Caenorhabditis elegans: one gene and its partner. The protein of the gene in region 1 purifies or fractionates together with the protein of each later gene. This does not show direct contact. Each region holds a gene or a part of one and is shown on either strand. Other genes may lie near its edges.

What was found.
Region 2: the proteins of ZC513.3 (region 1) and herc-1 fractionate together in Caenorhabditis elegans (co-fractionation; one large-scale study listed by BioGRID). This does not show direct contact.

What each region holds. Positions count from the first base shown.
Region 1 is NC_003283.11:8,045,274-8,050,115, reverse strand, and holds ZC513.3 (Protein kinase domain-containing protein), read right to left. Parts: upstream 3,111-4,842; 5' UTR 3,073-3,110; coding exon 3,067-3,072; intron 3,016-3,066; coding exon 2,923-3,015; intron 2,876-2,922; coding exon 2,697-2,875; intron 2,649-2,696; coding exon 2,448-2,648; intron 2,402-2,447; coding exon 2,266-2,401; intron 2,208-2,265; coding exon 2,073-2,207; intron 2,026-2,072; coding exon 1,934-2,025; intron 1,879-1,933; coding exon 1,707-1,878; intron 1,665-1,706; coding exon 1,589-1,664; intron 1,542-1,588; coding exon 1,351-1,541; intron 1,307-1,350; coding exon 1,169-1,306; intron 1,123-1,168; coding exon 862-1,122; intron 816-861; coding exon 735-815; intron 687-734; coding exon 588-686; 3' UTR 521-587; downstream 1-520. Other genes in the region: col-43 (Nematode cuticle collagen N-terminal domain-containing protein), read left to right, coding at 1-6, 65-291.
Region 2 is NC_003279.8:1,209,707-1,214,537, reverse strand, and holds the start of herc-1 (HECT domain-containing protein), read right to left. Parts: upstream 3,054-4,831; 5' UTR 3,044-3,053; coding exon 2,950-3,043; intron 1,965-2,949; coding exon 1,765-1,964; intron 752-1,764; coding exon 559-751; intron 1-558. Other genes in the region: nsun-2 (tRNA (cytosine(34)-C(5))-methyltransferase), read right to left, coding at 3,533-3,676.

The DNA.
Region 1 (4,842 bases):
ATGCTGGTAAGTTTCCCGTTGACTCTTGTTCCAAACAATACCTTACAATTTTCTTTGTTTTCAGGACCAGCCGGACCACCAGGACCACCAGGAGCTCCAGGAAACGACGGACCACCAGGACCACCAGGACCAAAGGGATCTCCAGGACCAGACGGACCAGCAGGAGTCGATGGACAAGCTGGACCACCAGGACCACCAGGACAAGCCGGAACTCCAGGAGAGAAGGGAATCTGTCCAAAGTACTGCGCTCTCGATGGAGGAGTCTTCTTCGAGGACGGAACTCGCCGCTAAACGGTGTATTTTTCTCATTAATTGTGCAATCTTCTTTTATTTCTTTTGTATTTCAGATGGTTTGGTTATTGAAAATAAAATTGTGTTCTACAATTCATACTTATAAAACAATACAAATTAAACTTCACTTCGTTTTCAGAGTTTCTTGATAAATACATTTTAAATTTCGGAATACTTGCAATCGTTTATTCGAATCGAATTCTCAACTAATTTTTATACTAAGCACAATTATAATATTTTTTTATTGTCTTTCAAGAATGAATAAATAATACTGTAAAAAACATGAATTAACGAGTTTACAAAAAACTGATCATGGCAATTGCAGCGATGACCAATCCGAGTGTCAGAAGCAGAATAAGAACGAGGAGCAGCTTTTTGTGTGGAACCTCAACAGTCTGAAATTATTTTTATTTAATTTTTCAGACGGTAGGAATTTAAGATACCATTGGAAGTTTGTCACATCTTGGAACTGTTGCACTTCTCGACATACAATTCTTCGAAACCCACGAAGTTTTTTGTCTCAACTAAAATTTTGTGGGTTTTTTAAATCCATTAAATACCATAACTTACAATTCTTGAGACATTTGGAAATTTCTCAGATTTCTCCCTGATTGCAAACGTTCTCCATCCGGGAGTAAGCACAATTTTCGTATCATTCTTAGATGGAAGTGTCTTCTCCAAGAAAGTAATGCGTTGTTGAAACAAATATGAAGTTGCACTTTGAGCTACTGATGGGGCATCTGATTTTTCAGAGGACTGTCTCCGAACCAATTTGTTCAATTCCATTCCACGAAGTTTACAGTAAATTAGTGATGGATGCATTGTGGTGAGCTGGAAAAAACGTATAAAGTCAACATCTCTAAATTTATATTCCCACCTGTTTAAAAATTGGCACAGTGTCTTGCAACTCAAATCGTGAATCCGCTTTAAACAAAAGTTGCTTTCTTCTTGTCATTTCTCGCCACTTTCGTCTATTGAAATTCTTTTCCGCAGCTCGCTGAACACTGCATCGACTCTGAAATTAGTTTTATATTTTCCATCAAGACGAAACGAAATTACCGTGTCTCCCGTGAAAGTCATCTGATGCTCCATTACAGTGTCAGTAAGCTTCCAATCAAGTTCCCAATCCAATGGAGTATCAGTTCCAGCTGAGTTTGCACTGTCACTTGAGTATCCACTGACAGTGACAATAGAAGGAGGACGCTTCGGAGTTCGAGGAATCGTAAGTTGAAGCTGATTACCACTGTTGTCTGAAATATTTTTAAAATTAATCAACTTATACTCAAAAGCCACCAACAATTGACAACCGATATTGCTGGAAAATGAGCATATCGAGAAGTACGCACACGGATCAATGTTTTCAATTTGCAATGCTGTAAAATTAAACAATTAAGTTATTGAGGAGCTTTTTGAACCTTTTGTAGCACTTCATCTTCCTTGGCCATATTGATTCGAAACTTTTTGATAACTCGGCAGAAATGAACAGAAAATGCGAGATGGGGTGACAGAAAATTGAATTCGCTGAACAAATCTTGATCTCCACGTTTGCGGTAGGGCATTGATTGGTGGTGTTTCACAACATTCGTGCTGAAAATTATTAATTTTGCTACTCAGAATTTTAATTTTGAGCCCTCCAACATACTACAAGCGATTGCGGTTAAATTTGAGAAACATCGGATCCCGACAGCACAGCATCCGATCCTTCATCCAATCGTGATTGTGCCTCAAGAACTTCTGAAAATATAATGAATAAATAGCATAAAATTTGCAAATCGTCCAACCAGAATGCGGCCTTTTGTTTCCTTCGTATTTGTGCGAAGATTCTCTTTTAGGTTCTCAACCAACGTCTTTGTCATCTTATTTGCTTCTTCTTTATGGGATGTGATGAGTTGGCCAAAGTATGGCTGACCGTATTTCTAAGAAATTCACAAGTTTTTGAAGCAAAAACAACAATTTCAATGAAGAATTACTAACCAGAAACTTTGCTACCAACATTCTCGGTGACTCCAACATTCGTTTACCATAATTTGAATAATCAGGTCTCGATCTTCCTCGCAATCTGAGTTTTTCCCTTCTTCTTTTCACGTCGAAAACTGAGCACACTGCAGTTCTAAAATTTGGTTTCATTTATATTCAAACCTAATCATTAAAATTACCCAGCCAATTTCACTCGATCAGAAACTCTTTTCTTCGTCGGGATCATCATGAAGAAATGTGCAGCTCGTCGATAAATGTCATATTTTGTAAGATCATCCATAAAATTATATGTATTGTACAAATAATGAATTTGAGCTTTGTTTTCTGGAACGGGCGGTGCAAACAAGGTTGTTGAGTAACGATCAGGCATTCCGACTTTGCTAAAATAGAACGTTATGTGCCTATTAATTGACTTAGCAGAAGCTTACTGTGCCTGATTGTTCATGATTTCCGAGGGTAAATCAATTTTCAAAAATCCTTTATGTTGTCCGCCAAGCGTTCTCATCTCATATGCCGTCTTTTTATCAGCAGAAATTGTATTTTGCTTCTTAGAAATCATCAAGGTTTTGAACGTTTCACGATGTAGTCGATTCGGGACTCGGAGTTTCTGAACACGTATCTCATTTTCAACATCTATAGTTGTTTGAAACTTACTTTGAAGGCATTATCAGAAACCTTTTTAATTTTTGAATTTCCGCTCTTGGTAGAAGACTCTGTCGATTTTTTAGTTTTTTCTTGTTTTTTACTCTGTAAATAAATTAATTACTTGACCGGAAGAATTTACTCAAGGAACATTACCTTCATTTTGTTTGAATCGATGTAATTTTAATAGAATTGTGATAAAATGTGAAATAAATCGATATGTGATTGGATTATTTCGGGGATTATGTTTTAAAACGTGGAACACCACGTGGTGAAATCTTTTATAAAAACTTCTTAAACAAACTTAAGTTTACGTTTTTCAAGATTTCTGATAAAATGTTTTTAATTCATTTATAAACTATAGTATATTTTTAAACTATCTTGTAAGATGAATATTGTGAATTAAAATTGAAATATTATGTATGTTAAATATCTTTAAAAAGTGGTGGGTAGAAAAGGATAAGTACCGTCATAACTTTGGAAGTCGGTTTGGAAGAAAATAGATTTTTATTGGAATTCAATATACAAATAAAGATTTATTTGTATCTTCATCAAAACATCGTGAGGGATATAACATGCAACAATACTCTGCAATTCTTAAAACCCTTCATTTTTCAGTCAAAAAATTTGGCAATTCACTAAAATATTGACTGGACTCTCTTTAAATGCAAGTTTTTGATTAAAAATCAAAATATTTCAATTTTTTTGCTTCAAAGCTAGAGTACGACCTTAGTAAACCCGTTCAGAATATACCCAGATTTAAACCAAATTAAAACCGTACAAGCCTATATTGTGAATTTATCTGCACAAATTTGGTTTGGATCTACTCAAAATCGATTTGGATCTACACAAACCTACACAAATTCAGTTTACATCTACTCAAACGTGCAATCTATCCAAATTAAGTTTGGATCTAGACAATCTTGGTTCACATCTGCCCAAAATTAGAATTTTTCATAATATAGGCTTGTACGGTTTTAATTTGGTTTAAATCTGGGTATATTCTGAACGGGTTTACTGAGACAGAAAAATAAATTGAAAATCTTTTATATAAATCTAAATAAAAAATCCTTTATATAAATCTAAATAACTTTTCAAAAAAATTTGGAAAATGCTTTCTCTTTATTCAAAAAGCGGTCAAAATTGAGTCTGAATTACTTTTCGAAAATCTAAAGCACTGTCGCATGTTCAAACCCTAGACTATTGGATTTTGACCACATATACATAAATCTGGAAGACAAATAATAATCGACGACTTCCAAAAAATAGGTGAATTATTTAAAAATCATTCCTTCGAGTCAAGAAGCAGTTTTGCCCTGCTTTTTGACTCGAAGAAAAATTTTCTGAGATTTTTTAGAAACGTTTTACTATGATACTTTGTTATTTTAGCACCATATAAATGATTTTTAATCATTTCCCCGCCATTGGCCGTATTTATCTTCAAGTACAGCTATGAACTTTAGGCATTTTAATATTTTAGGGGTGATTGAGCTGTTGTAGTCAGAATTCACACTCGTTTCCTTTATGATCTCTCAGAAACCCCATTCAATTATAAAAACAATTTGCAATTGATGAGATTTTTATCCTTGGAGCATTTTTTGCACGTTTACCTGGAAAGGATTAAATCTTCCTTGATCTCAACTTCCAACTACACAAGATTCTCCTTCCCCGATTTTTTCTCTCTCATTTTCGTTTCTCTTTCCCATTGTTTTATGTTTATTTGAAAGTTAGAGCAAATCGAATCTATCAACAATCATTCGAGAATCTAAACATTTTCCAATTCACCCTTATTGAATTCCAATCCCCCGCAACTCTTTGCTCCCAGCGAAACTTTATCCAATAATAATAATAAACTAAACTAAATCAGCTCTTGCAACAGAATGGGCAATTTCGCAATAGGTAAATAGGTAAACGAATGGGATGGATAAAAGA
Region 2 (4,831 bases), on another chromosome or scaffold:
GATCGGTTTTTCTCTGGATTTCCATGATTTTTTGGTCGTCGTTGGTACAAAAATTATTAAAAGCAACAAAAAATGCTTCAAAATTAGCAAAAATTAGCAAAAAATTTCGCCGCCAATTCCTAACGAGACCCAACTTTTCTTTTGGCGTTGAAGCGGGATTACATTTTTATTTTTTATTTTCAAAAAAATCCAGCTTTCCGTTTTTGCAAATTATTCGAAAACAAATATTCCTTCAAAAGACGAAAAGTTTATTTTTCCTAAACTACAGTAATCCTACAGTACTACTACAGTACTCCTACAGTACCCCTACAGTACTACTACAGTACCCCGACCATATCCCCCCCACTAACCCCAAACCAATATCCATTCAAAAGAGAAAAAGTCAAATTTCCCTAAACTACAGTAATCCTACCGTACTCCTACAGTACCCCTACAGTACTACTACAGTACCCCGACCATATCCCCTTACTAAATTTTTCAATTTTTCAGGTTTTTGAGATACTTTTTGGACTTTTCCAGCAAAAATTTGAATTTTTTCACAAATTTCCAAATTTCTACCTTCATCCAACGCAATACAATGATTGGATCCAGACGCCACTTGTACAATATCATTAATCTCTTGAACACGTCGTGGTGTTCCCTGCCACGTGAATTTACTCTCCATTCCGAGTTGTCCGTGCTCATTGGAGCCCCAAGCGAAGACACGCCCATCGTCGGTTACGGAGACTGTGTGAGAACGGCCAGCAGAGATCTGAAAAATGGAATTTCTACGAGAAGGCGATCTATGGAAATTGGCTCTGCGAAAAGGAGATCCACGGAAAATGGATCTGAAGTAAGGGAATTTATGAAAAAAGCATCTACGAGAAGGTGATCAACCAGATGGGGATCTATGAGAAGGGGATCTGCGAGATTATTATTTTCGAAAATCGAATCTACGAAAGGGAGATTATACGGAAAGGCTATCTTTGAAAATGGGATCTACGAAAGGGGGAATTCTACGGAAATGGGATCTACGAGAAGGAGATCTACGGAGAGGGTAATTATGGAAAAAATCTACATTAAAGGCAAAAAGGGATCTATGGAAAATATATGTACAAAAAAGAGCATCTACGAAACGGAGATCTACGAGAAGAGAATCTACAAAAAAAGGGATCTGGGAGAAGAGGATCTAGGAATTAGCCATTCTACGAGAGGAGAATCTATGGAAAAGGATCTACAAAACGTCGTTCTGCGTAAAGGAGATCTCCGAGAAGGGAAGTCTATGGAAGGCAGATCTATGAAAAGAGAATTTACAAAAAAGAGAGCTGCGAGAAGGGTGATCTACGAAAAGAAGATCTACGGCAAAGGAATCTTCGAGAAGGGAGCTTGCACGAAACAGAGATCTACGAAACGGGAACCAAAATTAATTCTATGAGAAGGAGATTTACGAGAAGTGAATCTACCAAAAGAGTATCTGGGAGAAGAGGATCTAGAAATTTGCTATTCTACGAGAAGGGGATCAACAAGACGGAGATCTACGAAACGGGGATCTACGAGAAGAGAATTTACGCAAATGGGAACTATGGGAAGAGGATCTGCGAGATGGAAATCTAAGAAAAGGGGATTCCACGGAAAAAGAGTTTACAAAAATGAGATCTACGGGATTTTCTCGCCAAAAACTAGGGAAAAACGAAAAATTTTTTATTTTTCAAATGTTATTTAGCGAAAAAATATGGTAAAATCATTTTCTAATGGATTTTCGCCAAAAAAAAAACTCAAAGTTACCTGAATAATTTTCGCACTGCTTGTCCAAGAAACCGGATAAATCGAAAAAGAACCCTCAGTCCGACTGCCTCGTCCCAATTGTCCATCCATATTACTACCAACACTCCACATTTTGCCATCTTTTGTCAGGAATACTGTATGTTGTTCACCACACGTGACTGACGTCACTGCGGTTCCATCCATATCATTTGGAGCGCCAACTGAAATTTTGAACAATTTTCAGAGAAAATTCCGAGACGATTTTAAACTATTTTCACACAGTTTTTAAACAAATATTCAAAAAAAAAGAGTTTTTTAAAGATGCATACAATTTTGCTCCAAAGTAATCAATTTTTTTTCGTTAGGCAAATTGCCGATTTGCTGGAAATTTTCATTTTAGGCAAATTGCCGATTTGCCGGAAATTTTAATTTCTGGCTTTTTGCCGATTTGCCGGAATCTATCATTTTTGAAAAATTGCCGATTTGCCGGAATCTCTCATTTTCGGCAAATTGCCGATTTCCGGAAATTTTAAGTTCTGGCTTTTTGCCGGTTTGCCGGAATCTATCATTTTCGGCAAATTGCCGATTTGCCGGAAATTTTAATTTCTGGCTTTTTGCCGATTTGCCGGAATCTATCATTTTTGACAAATTGCCGATTTGCCGGAATCTCTCATTTTCGGCAAATTGCCGATTTCCGGAAATTTTAATTTTAGGCAAATTGTGGATTTGCAGAAAATTTTAATTTCTGGCTTTTTGCCGATTTGCCGGAATCTATCATTTTTGACAACTTGCCGATTTGCCGGAATCTTTCATTTTAGGAAAATTGCCGATTTGCCGGAACCTTTCATTTTAGGAAAATTGCCGATTTCCGGAACCTTTCATTTTAGGCAAATTGCCGATTTGCCGGAAATTTTCATTTTAGGCATATTGCCGATTTGCCGGAAATTTTCATTTTAGGCAAATTGTCGATATGCAGAAAATTTTAATTTCTGGCTTTTTGCCGGTTTGCCGGAATCTTCCATTTCCGGCAAAATGTCGGTTTGCCATTATTTCTTTAAAAAAGTTTTTTTTAAAGTTTTGTGAAAGATTTACAAAAATCTTCCAATTGTTTTTTTTTCATCCGAAATTTTTTAATTTTTAAAATTTAATTTCGGAATTAATTTTTTTTTCTGTTTTCTAATTTCTGCAACAAAAATAGCTCCGTACTAATTCTCTCGGGAACTTGAATCGTCGACTCGGAGAGCCGAACGCCGAGCTGTCCCTCGCCCGTGTGTCCACATCCGAGCAGCTCAGCTCGCATTTTCTGAAATCTGATTTTTTTAACAATTAAATTTTAAAAAAACAATCTAGAAAATATCATAGTGTGATCTCAACAACTTTAGTTTTTGAAGCAGTATCAGAGGAAAAAATCTGAAAAAAAAATTCAAATTTTTTCAAAAAAAAAAATCAAATAACAACTGCAACAACAATAAAGGGAACACGTTGTGACAGAATGTCTCATTTCGGTTTGATCTACCTAGATCTACAAAAAATGCGGGAGTTGAGACGCAGAGTTCTCAACTGATTTTGCACGATTAAAAACGTGCTGACGTCACAGTTTTTTGGGGAAAAATTCCCGCATTTTTTGTAGATCAAACAGAAATGAAACACTTTGGCACCACGTGAGGGAACAAAAAAAAATCGGTGGCCGAGTTTTTTCCACACGGCCACGTAGCAGAATTTATAACTGTGTAGGGGATAAATGGAGATAAATTAAAGGAGAAAAAAGAGATAACAAAAAAAAAACAAATTATTCAGTCATTTCTTGAACATTTTCTTCTGGAATTTCCAGAGTTTCAGCAGATTCTGGAGCATCAGTTGAGCTGCTGGACGGCTCCGCAGCCTTTGCGGCTTCTTCCTTGCGAGCCCACGCGGCTTCACGGTCTTGGGCGGCCTGAAAAATTGATTTTTTGGACAAAAATTTAACTTATTTCTCATGAAATTACTAACAATTTGTGAAAACTTCCAAAAAAATTTAGTTAAACTTTTTTATTAGTTTTTTTTCTTCAATTTTCAAATTATCCTATTTTTCTAAAAATAACAATTTTCCGGAAATTCTAATTTCTGGCAATTCGCCGGTTTGCTGATTTGCCGAAAATTCTAATTTCTGGCAATTTGCCAGTTTGCTGATTTGCCGGAAATTCTAATTTCTCGCAATTTGCCGATTTGCCGGAAAATTAAAATTCTGGCAATTTGCAGAAAATTTGATTTCTGGCAATCTGGCGGTTTGCCGATTTGCCGGAAATTTTAATTTCTGGCAATTTGCCAATTTGCCGGAGATTTTAATTTCTGGCAATTTGTCAGTTTGTTGATTTGCCGAAAATTCTAATTTCTGGAAATTTGCCGGCTTGCCGATTTGCCGAAAATTCTAATTTCTGGAAATTTGCCGGCTTGCCGATTTGCCGAAAATTCTAATTTCTGGCAATTTGCCGGTTTGCTGATTTGCCGAAAATTCTAATTTCTGGCAATTTGCCGATTTGCCGGAGATTTTAATTTCTGGCAATTTGTCAGTTTGCTGATTTGCCGGAAATTCTAATTTCTGGCAATTTGCCGGTTTGCTGATTTGCCGAAAATTCTAATTTCTGGCAATTTGCTGATTTGCCGGAGATTTTAATTTCTGGCAATTTGTCAGTTTGTTGATTTGCCGAAAATTCTAATTTCTGGCAATTTGCCGGCTTGCCGATTTGCCGAAAATTCTAATTTCTGGCAATTTGCCGGTTTGCTGATTTGCCGGAAATTCTAATTTCTGGCAATTTGCCGGTTTGCTGATTTGCCGGAAATTCTAATTTCTGGCAATTTGCCGGCTTGCCGATTTGCCGGAAATTCTAATTTCTGGCAATTTGCCGGTTTGCTGATTTGCCGGAAATTCTACTATCTGGCAATTTGCTGATTTGCCGGAAATTTTAATTTCTGGCAATTTTTCGGTTTGCCGGAAATTTTAATTTCTGGCAACTTGCCGATTTGCCGGAGATTTTAATTTCTGGCAATTTGCTGATTTGCCGGAGATTTTAATTTCTGGCAATTTGTCAGTTTGTTGATTTGCCGAAAA